Styela clava: one gene and its partner. The protein of the gene in region 2 interacts with the protein of the main gene of each other region in a pairwise test. Links are inferred from orthologs where the notes say so. Each region holds a gene or a part of one and is shown on either strand. Other genes may lie near its edges. The genes, in order: splicing factor 45-like and uncharacterized protein LOC120326920.

The links.
Region 1: the proteins of uncharacterized protein LOC120326920 (region 2) and splicing factor 45-like interact in binary tests that used the Homo sapiens proteins (3 or more experiments, as listed by UniProt). The link is inferred for Styela clava from reciprocal best matches to the Homo sapiens genes SF1 and RBM17.

The regions. Positions count from the first base shown.
Region 1 is NC_135252.1:14,907,993-14,915,790, forward strand, and holds the start of splicing factor 45-like, read right to left. Parts: upstream 3,144-7,798; 5' UTR 3,093-3,143; coding exon 2,865-3,092; intron 2,686-2,864; coding exon 2,454-2,685; intron 1,910-2,453; coding exon 1,712-1,909; intron 1,361-1,711; coding exon 1,233-1,360; intron 461-1,232; coding exon 329-460; intron 239-328; coding exon 141-238; intron 1-140. UniProt on the Homo sapiens protein: Splice factor that binds to the single-stranded 3'AG at the exon/intron border and promotes its utilization in the second catalytic step. Involved in the regulation of alternative splicing and the utilization of cryptic splice sites.
Region 2 is NC_135253.1:22,301,259-22,308,797, reverse strand, and holds the start of uncharacterized protein LOC120326920, read right to left. Parts: upstream 3,335-7,539; 5' UTR 3,217-3,334; coding exon 2,955-3,216; intron 2,353-2,954; coding exon 2,155-2,352; intron 1,761-2,154; coding exon 1,685-1,760; intron 1-1,684. Other genes in the region: PIH1 domain-containing protein 2-like, read right to left, coding at 6,534-6,668, 7,243-7,379. UniProt on the Homo sapiens protein: Necessary for the ATP-dependent first step of spliceosome assembly. Binds to the intron branch point sequence (BPS) 5'-UACUAAC-3' of the pre-mRNA. May act as transcription repressor.

The DNA of each region.
Region 1 (7,798 bases), on a different chromosome or scaffold from region 2:
AGGATAAAATGAAACAAGCCAAATGACAGAGAATTATAGAATTCCATCTTGCTTCAAAATCTAATCTTAAAATAAATCCAGTTCATAGCAAATAAATAAATAGTAGATCTAATCAAACCGATGGAATTGCGCAAACTTACTTTCTAACTTCCCCATATTTGCTGCATTCTTCCGATGTTTCACCTTCTAATTCTTGATCAACTTCTCCAGGCCCAACCATGTTACGAAGACAAACGACCTGTAGATTGAGCATTGATAAACATAGAAAATATGCCTTATTTATACCATTAACCAAATGTGAAAAAAAAACAGAAACAAGTAAAAATACCTTTGTAGGATTCTTTAACAAATTAGCTACACTTTCTTTTTCTTCCTGTTCCCTTTTCTTCTCTTCTTCAAGTTGTTTTTCAATTTGAGAACTTGGTATGATTTTACCTCCTCGTTTACTTGTCTTCTCAACCTATTATAAGACAACATACCAAAAGAGAGACTTTACTTTTAGGAAAGCTAATGCTTCTTTCCAGATGATTCTATGCAATCATAAGTGTTGCTCCAGGTCAAACGATTGGCAAAAAGGATGTACTTAAATGGCTGCAATCAGGGATGAGCAGCCTTGAGCATTTTCTGCACTATTATATTGCAGTACGGCACACTATCCAAATTCCAAGAATTCCCTCCATTTGGTTCAATAAAACAAACACTCCATGCGTCTCACAAACGAGGGGCGTGTGGCACCAAATCAGATCATGCCATGCTTGTCTCAATAATAATCTAAATTAATCGCAGCCGTCATGTGATCAAAATTGCCGTTTTTCGGTAAAAACTTTCGTATGCCAGGATAAAAAAAATTTTTCTTCTGTAAATTGGATTATTTTTTCCCCGGGGAATTCAATGATGACGTTATTAGATTGCGTTTTTTTGTAGTATTTTGTGCAACTGCCAACTTCATTATACGATATATGAAAGACAGCAATGTACAAACGTCTCCCAAAAGAGGGGTGTCTGATCATCTGTAAAATGGGTTTCTCTGTAACGAGACAATGTCACTTGATCTGTATAGTGTGCTGTACTGTATTGGTAAACTTTTGGAAATATTTTCTTTTGTGATTCCCAAAAAGATTTTACACTAAAAATAGCCCCAAATTACAATTCTCAACTAATAAATTAATCTTGTTTATTTCATTAAATTTTATTGAAACATCTTTGTATCGAACACGGAAAATGTGACAAACCTGTAATGCATGACTGATGCCCCTGTTTCCTTTTCCAAGACCCAATCCTTCTTTAAATCCATATTTTGTCATGATTTTGTGTGCTACAGAACCTGCCATATTTCGTGCAAATTGTGTTCCAGCTCCACCTACAAGTAATGCATCAAGTGTTCACTATTATCGAATAATTGGATAGGAATTCTTTTGAGGAGGAATATCAATTAAGTAAAAATATTATAATTCCCTAATACTATTAGTGAGTCATGAAGGATAAAATTTACTTCATATAGTCTTCTAAAAATAAAATCTGAAATTTCTCTCTACATAAATTACACCCTGTTAAATTTCAATCGACACTGACACAGTTTCTATATGGCTAAAAATGAGGCCTTGAATACACAAACACCTCCTAAGCCAATAAGTATTTACTGTTAGTTTAATGAATTGGACTAGAATTTTCGTTTAATATACGGCTTGTTGAAAAATGAAGATATTGAAACCTGCTAATGCTAGAGGAGGCGGTGGAGGAGCAATTTCAGCCTTTTTATCTTCTTCTATAAGAATAGTTGGAGGTGCGATTGCAGCTTTACTTCCCTGGGTCATTCTGATACGTTTTTCTCGTTCGTAATCATCATCTTCTTCATCCTCGTCAGATGCAGGTCGTCGCGAAAATCCACTTCCTGGCCCACCAAACCTACCTGTACAACAACAATGGTTACATATATAATATTTCGCTTTCATGAAGTCATCATCAATGTATGTTGGTGCCATAAAAGGAGTCAGTCTCATAGTTAGCTGACTGTTTAAGCCCACAGTAACTGAAGTTCACATAAATTAATTTCAAGAGTGTAAATGATGGTTAGAATATGTCTAAGCACATAATATTTATCTACAAAGTAACAATTGCAAGCATGTCTGGAACCTGATCCAGAGTGGGTAAAATATGAATTTTCTATCACTTTCCGCATTCAAAATCCCCTTTTTCTTAGAACTATTTCAAATTGATGTGTATGTGTATGTCATTCAACTCCAAGAACTTCGAATATTAATTGAAGCACTATAATGTCAGTAAAGATTAGTAGGCTTTTGATTACTTTTAAACTCTTCTTTAGAGTGAACACAAGATATTTGTGATCACTTAAGGCTACTATCCATCAAAAATTATTGATTCACTGATTCAAGAAAAACTAATATATGGGTTTTAAAGTATTCGCAATATCACGAAAATTGTATTAATCCTACCATGGGGTGCTCGATCATCTCGTCTGTTATCACGATCCGAATGTCTTGAATCTCTTCTTTTCCGTCTGTCCTCCATTTCTCTCTGCCTTTCCTCTTCTCTTTCCCGCTGACGTCTTTCTCTTCTTTTTCGTGTAACTTTTTCATATTCATTCGGATACCTAGGATCGTACTCATCTTCAAATTGATCAAGACTCTCTCCACCAAGAAACGGACTAGGCTTTGTATCCACTAGCTATATCATTGAAATGCAAAAACGTTTAAAATATGTTGCTTAGTAATATACGAACTTATGAAGATAGAACATCTATTCTAAAACTGCACAGCTCAGCAGCTAGAATCACGAACCAATCGGTAAAAGTACCTGGAAATTTTTTATTTAAAAAAGAAATAATCCACAACTTTAAAACTAACTTTGTCATCATGGCTGTAATCAAGCTGTTCTTCTGTTTTTACTGCTTTATTCAAATTAATCACAGGAGCAACAACAGGGTTCCCACTTCGAAACTTCTCATGCTTTGCCTTTGTTAAAGCTGCCTTTTTTGCTTCAAGTTGAGACTTTAGCATTGTGAAACTGGAAGACCACCCGGTTGCTTTTTCACCTTGATTACTATCCAAACCTAATCCATCATAGAGAGACATTGTTCTTGCGTTTATATATAGGCCTATTCTGAAAACATACCAGAGAATGAAATTATTTTGGACATTATGCAGTTATGTGTTACAGAATCACCCTGCAAGTCGAAACCGTGTTGTCAAAATGGGAGGAACACTCTTGAACATTGAAAAAAACATTTATGGTCATACAATTCGACAAGTGCAAGTATTCTGTGGCGTCTGCAGCTGCCGCAAAACCATGGCAGTATTTCCATACCATGGCCGCTACAGCCAAACCTATGGCTACTGACTTTTTAGCTGCCACAAGCACAAACCAATGACGAGCTGCCGTTACCGCGGCAGCAAATTGAAAGCCAATGGCAGACCACTGTGAAGCTAGTAGCAATTTGACCTTTGTGTGCGGCGAAGCGGAAAGGGTAATATTTAAGGCAGAAATGGAGGCGCGTGTCAGAATCTACACCCAAAAAAATGAAGATAAACGAAATTAGCATACTATTATGGGAAATATGTTTATAATTTGGGAAAAATAACAAGTATATAACCAAAATTAAGAATAAAAGCTAAAAGCTCGATTCTAAAATGAAAAAGGCTTAGGTTCTAGTTGTGTGGAAAACTTCAGGTAATCTTCTTTAATGGGAAATAATCAAATCGAATGCCTCTTGTGCGGAAGGGTGTGCTGCTAGGCTTTGAAAATTGACTAAATTAGCTTTTTTCGCTATACGTAATTTTCCAAATAAGGTCATTTTCGCTATGAGAATACCCCAGATTCTAAAATAAAAAAGGCTTAGGTTCTAGTTGTGTGGCAAACTTCAGGTAATCTTCATTAATGGGAAATAATCAAATCGAATGCCTCTTGTGCGGAAGGGTGTGCTGCTAGGCTTTGAAAATTGACTAAATTAGCTTTTTTCGCTATACGTAATTTTCCAAATAAGGTCATTTTCGCTATGAGAATACCCCAGATTCTAAAATAAAAAAGGCTTAGGTTCTAGTTGTGTGGCAAACTTCAGGTAATCTTCATTAATGGGAAATAATCAAATCGAATGCCTCTTGTGCGGAAGGGTGTGCTGCTAGGCTTTGAAAATTGAATAAATTAGCTTTTTCAGCTATACGTAATTTTTCCAAATAAGGCAATTTTCGCTATGAGAATACCCCAGATTCTAAAATAAAAATGGCTTAGGTTCTAGTTGTGTGGCAAACTTCTTTAACATAAAAGAATCAAATCGAATGCCTCTTGTGCGGAAGGGTGTGCTGCTAGGCTTTGAAAATTGACTAAATTAGCTTTTTCAGCTATACGTAATTTTTCCAAATAAGGCCATTTTCGCTATGAGAATACCCCAGATTCTAAAATAAAAAAGGCTTAGGTTCTAGTTGTGTAAAAAACTTCAGATAAACTTCTTTAACATAAAATAATCAAATCGAATGCCTCTTGTGCGTAGAGTGTGCTGCTGGGATTTGAAAGTTGCCAAAATTAGCTTTTTTGACTTTTGTAAATTGCATAATTTTGTTTGTACCATTTTTATAAAATTATCGTGTATTAATGACACGATTGCACATAATTCTGGAAATTTGTCATCTCTTGAATAAAAAATTAATATTTCGCGCCACCAATATAGAAGAGACGTTATGCTGATCTTCAAAATATCCAAATTACGATATAACGATAATGTACGACATATAATAACCTGACTTCTGATTTCAGCGCCAGTGAGACATATTGAAACAAAACAGTTTTTACGTTCTGTTTATTGCATGTGTTGAAGAATTTGCTTTATACTACAAAATGCATGTGAAACTTCTTAAATTACTAAGACATATTATAATGAAGTTTAACGTTTGTTACGTAATACAATACACAGTTTGAAACGAAGTAAAGCACTTTTACGGCTACGAAATGTTGTAATTTAGTAGGCTGGTTTTGAAATATTTTTAAAGTTATACAAAAATGCTCGGGGCTCTTGGTTGAATTAACACTTTAGCCAAATAAGCAGCGCGCATAAAGCATCACGGAATGGGCACCATATAATTTTTTATCGGTATCACAGTGTTTAATAATGTAAATCGAGTTGGTCAGACGATTTGGACCTCAACTCAATGGCTCGGTTGATATTGCTTATTTCTCTTAGTTCGTGTACCATCTTGCACCTCTGTATAAATGTTTGCAGGCATGAGAAGTATTTCCAAAAAATGTCACATAAATTGAACATAACTTAGCTTTTAATTGGCAGTTATTACCGAAACCTATGCAGGTGACATGGAACACTCGTTTCGTTATATTTTCAAGCTTATATGAATACGTAATCTAACATTTTTTGTCAAAATATTTGTCCTGATCAATTTTATCAGCCGAGTATATTTAATTTCGACAACGTACTATGACAAATGAAACTGCATAGGCGATCAAACCGCCGGGATGCTTTCCACTCTGTATCCTAAGTTGCCGTCAAATATATTTGAATTTATTGCTTATCGTGATGTACTTCGTGATGTATTTCTTCCACAGCCTGTCTACAAACTTAATCATTGTTCTCTGTGTGGAATTTAGGACTCGCCCATGTTTTACGCCACCACCCTTCAATAAGCACAAAACTGTCATTTCACCCTTCAATGAGCAAAAAAACGAGATTATACGCACCGCTGCGCAAAATTAGAAGAAGGTTTGCTACTAGCTTCACAGTGGTCAATGGCAGGTAAAATTTTGCTGCCGTAACCACGGCAAGTGGACCATGAAGACAGGGCTATCCCTTATGGTGACAAATATTGAGTTAGTTGGTTAGGATTTGAGTAGATATAATTCCGCATGATTTATACCGGTACTTATCAGCTTATATTAGTAGGGTGGCTTAGCCACTTTGTGGCCATTAACTTCATTGATTTAATAATAATTAATGCGGAAAATTTAACGAACCGTGGCGATATTCCACACGCGCTTTCGTCCACTAGTCCTCGTAGCTCTGCAAAATCCCACTCAAATTCCATAAACAACGAAAATACGACCAAAAAAACGACCTAGGGAAAAAAACGGACCAAATTTCTATGTCGTCAACTACCCATTGTCCTTTTGAGAAAGCTTGGAAATCACTAGAAATATAATAGATAAAATGATGAAACTTGGCACGTTGGTAGGGTTGTGTTTCCTTTGACCATCTTTAAAGTTTCGCGTTTGTGCAATCATGTGTGCAATAGGGCAGAGCCATAATGGCTCTGAATCACTGAACTGGAAATATATATTTATATATCTCTGTGCTCTGAATAGGGGAATAGACCTCAGTCATTCAAAACCCATCCTACGCGCGAAATAGAGGTATAAATTTATTGGACACGAAATGGACATAACGATCGTTTCAATATTATGTTGTTCTTGTTGTTTGACACAGACTAACACACCTAGTGAAAATATTAAAAAACCGCTTTTCTATTTGATTACTGGACCAATTGCTTTGAAATTTTTAGTGGTTGAAGATGAAATTTTTCTCCAGAAGGCTATTACTTTTATTTATTTCAAATATTTCTGTTAGCTCTGTGAGATTTGTTTTTGTTTGCTATGACGTCACCGAACGTTCTGCGGTCGCATAAGCACTCGATTCTTCTGATCACGTGCCATCGAACGTCGGTGGTTCGTAAAGAAGTCCTTGCTGTTTGCTACGATTTTTCCTTACGCGGTCTTACCGGTACTACTGTACTGCAATAAGGTTGGTTTTCCAGCAAATCTAGCCTACCGTATTAGTTAATTTTGATAAGAGCAAAATCGGTTACACTGAACTAACTCGTATGCTAAAAGCGGGGCTTGCATTCCCTGTTATAACCACGACAGTCTCTGCGCTGTACCGTAACCGTACCGTCTTAGCGGATGCTGGAATTGAAAAGTTTTCTGTGGGGACGGTACGGTACCGCCTTAGCGAAAGTTGGGAATTGAAAGTTTTTTATGGGGACAGTATTGAAAGTTTTTTTATGGGTGCGATACCGGTACCGGTAGACTGTCAGACTTAAAAACAAACCCTACCTAATACAATACATACCCTACCTAGTACCGTAATAGAGTAGAGTTATCAGTGAAAATAAGAAGAGTCTATTTTGTCGTAACTTTGTCAATTTTACCATAGCTTACCGAATTCATTTACTTGTAGTGCGTCTGCAGGGAAATTCAATTATTGTCTCTTCTTCTTTATTAATGCAGTAATGAGAATGTCTGTACAATTGCGATACTTGTTCTCATATTTTGCTGTTTTGTTACGTTTTTTCTGGAAACACCACAAATGCAGAATTATGCAAAGGAAGGAGCATTACAAACTTTACAAAAAATTTCAACATGCTGACATGTGCAGCAGGTAAGTGTAAGGGCTGAGCATATCAAATGTTTAATAGTGAAATAAAGTCAGTTCATTACTGGTGCCATAACCTGATACCTGCGGTAAAATTAACGTCTAACCTAACGTATATCTTTTTATTCTCGCAGCTGTCATGTTTATTCTTTTTTCATTACAGTTTTGCTGGAAACAACAGAAATATGCTACGAAAGAAGCATCTTAACTTATCCGAAAATTTTTAACATGTGGCGCATGTAAGTCTTGATGCCAGAGCACACCAACTTCATTTCATTTACATGTTTACTGTTATTTTATTGCAGTCAAATTACCTTAGTCCATTTTATTTGTATTCCTGCAAGCTGCAATGTTTATATTCATTTTGTTGCTTTTTTGTTACAGTTCTGCTGTAAACACAGAAACAACAAA
Region 2 (7,539 bases):
GGGACACACAATTTTTGTGCAACGAAAATAGGCCGCGAAAGATAAAGGTTAAGAACCACCGGCCTAGCCAATTTCTTACACCCTGGGTGATGGGATTTGAACCTCAGATTTTTAACACATTTTAACGGCGCTCCCGTAGTATGTGAACCAAGATGGCGGACAACTGAACAAAGTATGTGTACCAGGTTAGGGTTAGGCCATAATTTTATTCCAATTTTCCTTATTTTAGTTCTATTACAAGTTCGGGAACTAGCCAAGTGACTCCCGTAGTATGTGTACCTGGAATTATGGCCTAACCTGATCCACATACTACGTTCTGGTGTCCGCCATCTTGGTTCACATACTAAGGGAGTACCTTTTCAACACATTCACTGTTAAAATCAAGTGAAACTTCAAAAAATTTCTCAAGAAATGACATAGAGGCTATTGATAAAATTACTGGTAAAAATGCATAATTGTAAAAAACACAATTTTTTAGATGAAAATTGACGACCCATTGAACCCAAGCACACTTAGCAGCTGTAAGAAAGTTAATTTTTGTCGTAATAGAAGAAAAAAATCCTGAAAAATTTGGAATTAAGCCTGCTAGACCTGTAGAAAGGTTAGGCTGTAGAAAAAATAGCAAATTTAAGAGAAAAATTTAGGTAATTTGCTGTGAATAAACTGGTATCAGATTAAAATCATTTTTGATACTCTGCAGAAAAATTGATTATAAATTTGGGGAGGTACTTCCACTAAGAAAATTCATAAAGTTATCAGAATAAAATGGTTATTTAATGAAGAGGTCTTCTGCTGCGTAGCTCTCTTTGAAGTAGAGTTCTGCAGAATTCATGGTTGACTGGCCATGACGAGCGTTCTCACAATGCTGCAATGTAAGTGGCTGCATAAAGGGTTTTTGGGCACAATATGTTAGGTTATATTAAACATGGTTGGATTGTTAGAAAATAGATCAAAAATATATAATATTTACCATCTCTGACTACTAGAGTTTCATATTTTAGCTTAAAAAATAGGCCCTAGAAAAGCAACCTCTGAGATGGCTGGTACTTTACAATCACTGTAACCGTATATTCTCGCATATAAGCAGAATTAAAAATTCCAAAAAAGTTTCCAAACTAGTGAGTACGTTTCTATGCGCATAACTCAGGTTGGCTTATATGGGAATTTTCATAAATACCCCGTTTCGGGGAGCTGGCTAACATGCGACGGTATACAGTACTCAAGATTACTTAAATCTTTCTTTTATATATACTTACAGTTTTATATAATCTTTCAATTTATATTTCTACCCCTCAAACTAGGATATTAGGTTACGTTAGAAATTATTAAATAAAATGGCCATTTTATGGTTTCTTAAAAAACAAAAAAAAATTCATTTGCCTGATTGGTTTGTCAAAAAATGATCAGAGAATCGTATTGTTGCTTTCATAGTGGGATATATTTTTAATATATGCTGTACTTCGAATTAACTAAGAAGTGCTTCGCCTACAACTTTACAAAGTGACGAATCTCTTTTATTTATGAGTATATGCACATGACTTTGTTTTAGATAAATACCAATAAAAGGGTTACTAAGTAGAAAGTTGTAAAAAAATAATAAATTAAACAAAAATAGCAAAAAATTAATGTCACCACAAAATATGTAAAAACCCAAAGTGCTTGTTGCACTCAGATTTAACCAAACCTGTCTTCAGGGTTAGGTGAAATACCAAGGTCGCCAGATTTCAACTTTCTCGTCACATCTTCGATCTGTAGCTGAACTGTAATTTTCACGGTTATGAAACACGTTGAAAAAGAAAAAAGAATCGTTTGTTAGGGAGACACCAAGTGGAGCACCGATAGTGCCTCTGGTGTATTAAAAAAGAGTAAAAATCTATATTAATACGAAAAAATAAGAATTGAGAGCGTGAAACTCCTTTGAGACGTAATTCTTGAAATCCTATCATCCACCTAAAACCTGGCATCAGATACTTACCCAAGCCCTAGAAGTTAGAGACAGTTAATTGTGAATTTGAAAGATAAAAAACGTGTATAAAATGTAAAAACAAACTTTTTCAAACCTAATTGGGCCAAGAGAGATACAAAAAGATTCAATCTATTAAAAAAAAGCACAAAAGCGGAAAATTCAAAAAAATGAATAAAAAAGGAAATTACCTATGTATGCTTGTTGCTGTTCTTTACTCAAATTAGCAGGCATCGTGGATGGGATACCAGGAATGTCAGTTTTCACTTCCGGCGTCGACCAGCGGCTACGTTTCTTTCTTGGTCGGCCACGTTCATCAGACGTCTGCTGCGGCGTTGTAGGCATAGACGGCTGAGGTGGTGGGGCTTGCATTAGCGGTGGTGCTGGTGCTAAGAAAATATATATTACAGAGTTTATTGAGTATGACAATACAATCAAGACTTCGTTAAGTATCATCTAGATGCAGTAAGGCACAGTTTCCAAATTCCAATTATGTCCCCTCATTTTGGTTCAATAACACTAAACACTCCATGTGTCTCACAAGCGAGGGGCGAGTCGCACGACGGCAGATGTGTCATATCGCATCATACTAGTCTCGAAATATTTTACGTTAATCGCAGCCGTCACATGACCAAAACTGTCGTTTTTGCTAAAAACTGTATGCCATAGTAAAAGTAAAAAATTTTTTCCTTCTGTAAATCGGATTATTTTTTACAGAGGAATTCAATGATGACGTTTTTAGATCGTGCATTTTTTTAGTTTATTGTACAACTTCGTTTTAACAATGTCCAGACGTCGCCTCGCTCGACCTGTTAAGTGTACCGTACTGGAATGTGACTAATTTGAATATTCATGTCTTAACTAATACACTTTTAAAATATCAAAAAGCATTTCAAAAGTTGATAAATCATATCCACTAGTTTTAACGTTTTTATTTTTATCAAATGGCATGTTTGTTTCAGATACAAAAAATAGATGTTTACAAGCTTACCAGAGCTAAATTTCTTTTGTTGCAAGCTGGCAGCAGCAGCCTGGGCAGCCCTAAGTGCTGCAGCAGCATTACTGCTGACTGAACTTTGCTGTGGTGAAGGCTGGGAATGTTGTTGCGGTGGAGGCATTTGCGGTTTCAAAAGCGATGGTTGTTTTTCCGACGGAGGCGTCGCAGAAAATGTCCTTTTTGACCCAATTGCGGGGTTTCGCGGTCCCAGCGGAATCGCATTTGCCCCTGTAAATCCACTACCTCGTCTTGACATCTCGATAAACTTCTAAATCTACTAATGAATAGAGTTAATACGCTTATTTAAATGACAACAGCTCGCGAAAAGCTAAACGCAAATGGCGACGAACGATGCTTTGCGACGTGTGAAGGAAAAAAGCAAAGTCACGTGATCAATCTTCGACGAAACGTTCACAACTTTCGATCGCATTTCATTAATGAATATTACGAAGTATGTCAATATACTCGTTATTGATAATCTCTAACTGAAATTGTTTTAGGAAAGATTTCATTTTATAATTGCATTCGATAAAAGCTTTCATGAGGCGTTTTTCATGTGGATATCTGCTGTATGAGCGCTCGAAAAATCTAAAGCATACGGGCCAAAAACCTTGACCGTTCTTGTATACTGTATACTGACACACGCAACATATTGTTAATCAACCTGTGTTTTCAATTACAGTATTGTATATATTGGCATTTATTAACAAAGTAATAATATTGTTTGTTATTTAAATATCTTTGCTTCTCTGCATTTTACATCATCACACGTAACATGTCCAAATTTACATCACTTATATAAACGAACCTTGCTAAGCGGTTAGTAACTGATAAACTACGGTATGGCTATTTTTCAAGAATAAAATTTGAAATAATTTTCGAGTTTTTGACTGTTTCTACATCGAATATATCCATTATATTTCAGCTGAAACCGTCACACTTGATAGAAAACCGTTCTCCGGTTCGTGACGTAATATATCGGTCCTTTTCGTGTTGGTAACTCGAGAGTTTGGAAGCATGGCGAAGTCGAAGAATCATACGAGTCATAATCAGTCAAGAAAAGCTCATAAGAATGGAATAAAAAGACCAACTTCACAAAAATACCCTTCCCTAAAAGGAGTATGTCCAAAGTTTTTAAGAAACATGAGGTTTGCTAAGAAGCACAACAAAAAAGGAGCAGGAAAAGTAAAAGCCGAAAAATAAACTTTGATGTGACTTCAAGATTGGCTCGTGTGAGTTTTCGAAGCAATTGACGAATTTTGGACAATTTAGCCAAGATATTGAACTCGAGAAAATTTCGTGCTATGTAATTGTTTGTCATCAGAAATTCGAATATTGTGTTAGAAAATAAAATATGAGCTAATGGATCTGGTTTGTCTGTGATCTTGCTTCAGTCATCTCAAGTTGTGTAGTTTAACATCCTGACGGTACTTTTAGAATCAATTTCATTAATGATGTGGTCAAAGTACCAACAGTGTACAAGTGTGCCACCCTTTGACTTTCAGACTTCTCTGCATCTTGACTTAGCATTGACAGACTGGATATTTAAGAACTTAGGATCCAAAATAATTAGATAGAACAGTTGTTTATTAGTTGAGTTTTTCAAAGTGATGATTAAGATTATTTGAACGCAATTCAGAAACTGAATTCTACATATTCAATTTGAAAACAATAACAAGCAACCTAGGCATAAACCAACTACAGACCACAGGACCACCCATCGGGCCAGCTGTACGGACTTAACCACTTCAATTGCTAGTACTGTAGTACAAAATAAATCGAGATAAACGTTGGGTTTGGGCTGGCTTTACATCACTGTGGAATATCATGTGTTTGTGGCCCGCTAAATACCTAATGCTGCTTTCAAGGTTTCCTCCAGTTGTTTTTCTTGCCATGTTTAATAATGGATTCGAAATCGTTGCAGGGATAGTTATGTGCGAGAGGAACTACTTGCCACTGATTGGTTGCGGCTTCCTCCATCGCCAAGTTCATGCTATAGAAAACTGGCTAACAAATTCTAAAGCGTATATATGAATATTCCCACACCCGACATGGGGCGGCTTTCCTCTTTCCATGATAAATATGTGTATCCTATCCTACTGTACCAATCCTAATATTAGAAGGCCAATAAGCGAATGTAAAAACATAAATGTATTCGAGTTGAAGAATTGAACAACACTCTGGTTATTGATATAAATTAATGTAGTAATCGCATTAAACCCTTTTTCTCATGGCCCTATGGAACTGCTCCATGGACTCTTAGTGGGGATGAAGGCCCAGTGCAGCAGTTGGAGAAACCTAGGACTAGAGCTTTTGAACTGAAAAATTTACCTGTCATGTCTACGACTTTTGTAACTCCACGACTGGGATAGATATGTATTGATAGAACTTAAAAAAATATAGCTTAATCTGTTGATAAGACTCGCAGAATAATTTATAACTTTCATACTAGTTGAATAAAATTATTTTCAAGGAACAAAATAGTAAAAAATAAAATTTGTTACAAAATATCCCAACATTATATACTATGCATAGAGCAAATATATCACAGGATAAAACATAAAAGAGAAAGTCAACTAGGTGAAATTGTTATGCAGACCAGGGACAGAATAATACATTTTTCTCTCATTGCATTAATTGCTTGCTATATATCGATCGAAGAATTCACCATCCCGATTTTTCATTACTCCCATGATCGTCATAAATTATAAACATTTAGATAAAGCTTGAGAGGAAATTTTTTGAAGATCATTCATAGACTTATGAGGCATTTAAATTGATATACACACACTTATACACTTCATAAATAACTTTAATCAGCTGGATGATGAGATGGCCCAACCAAAAAAAAAAAAATGACTTGATGAATTCGGCATTTTTCAGACTTGATTTAATAATATCCAATTTGCAAGATCATGTTTTGCATTAAAGGAAATGGCATGGGATTAACATTTCATTGTGGTTTGCACAGAGAAGATGGCAATAAAAGTTGGTCGCAAACTGAAAAAGGTAGGGAAGCACTGGTGTGTGGAGACGAAGTCATTCTAAATTTCCCTGAGTTGGGCCAAAATTTTTTGGGTTTGAATGGTGATGAAAAAGTCAAACTTTTCAACAGAAATAGAGTCTCGATATTCACTTTGGAGGAACATTCAAAGCCAGACAAGACATTTTCTTATCAGATTTTGCTTAAATTAAACTCGAAGAGTATTTTCCACGTTCATCAACCACAGACTCTGACATATATTGAGTGTAGAGGACAGGTATATAGAGCTGTTCTGAATTTCCCCGAGTTGGGGCCAAATTTTTTGACTTTGAATGGTGATATAAAAGTGTAAACTTCTCTACAGAAATAGAATCTCAATATTCACTTCAAAGGAACACTCAAAGCCAGACAATACGTTTTCTTATCAAATTTTGACTTGGTAATATTTTCCACAGTGTTATCGTCAAAAGTCTGAGTCATCGTCTAAATTCTGAATTTCACCAAGTTGAGGTCGAAATTTTAGACTTTCGGTAATGGTGATAAAAAAGTCGAACTTCTAAAGAAACTCAAATAGCATAAAGTCTCAATATTCACTTCAATGGCACATTCAACGTCAGACAAGACGTTTTCTTATTAAACTTAGCTGAAGCGTCATCTTCTGATATTGCTGACGGAAATGTCAAAGTAAAATAGTATTTATCTTCTACAATGAGTTCCACTGATTCCTAAATTAAGAAAAAAAATTCCAATTATACTTTGTCATGCAAAAAATCACAGTAAATTCAGACAAACAGGTATATCATCGCAATTACCGAGAATAGAGGTCGCAAAGATCCAGATCTGGTCATCAGAAATCACTGACACCAAGATTTAAAACGGGTCAAAAAAAAAAAGTGGAAGAAAAATGTACACAAAAAGAAACTTGATGATACTATTTTCAATCAAAATTACCATTATTGCTAAGGTTTTCAGCTCGGCAGTGTGACGAATCGTGCTTGCTAAGCGTGAAGCACCTCTGACCTGTGTGGGTTCAAATCCCCTGATAGTTATGTGCGAGGGGATTGGCGAACTCCTCACCGTCGTAGGGTGGTTCACGTAACCGCTGGTCGGTTATGGCTCCCTCCACCATCAAGTCCATGCATCCAAAACATATGACTGGGTAATCCCATACCCGACATGGACTGATAACTGGACAAGAGGCCGTAGTTCGCCATATGATTGAGTTGTCTTATCGGCTTTCCTCTTCCTCAGAATAAATATGTAAATCCCATTCTAACAACATTAGCTAGCTACTGTTACCTCTGATATATTCAAATCACATTCTGCAACACTGGATACTGTAGGTAACTTAATCTTCAAGACAAACTTTGCCGGTCTTTCATTGTACTTTGGCATCTCTGTCAGTGTGTGCTCTGGTCTCGGCAGATGAGAGAAGTCTGTACATGAAGTTTGTTAGGTAAATGCAGTATCGTATCTACGTAAAATGACACCCATGGCGAAGCCCCTTATCGTTGGTTGACAATTTTAACGGCTGCTGTTGAATTGAGATATGTTATTATTTGAGTAAAACTATGAGTGTTAATTGTTTTCAACAGG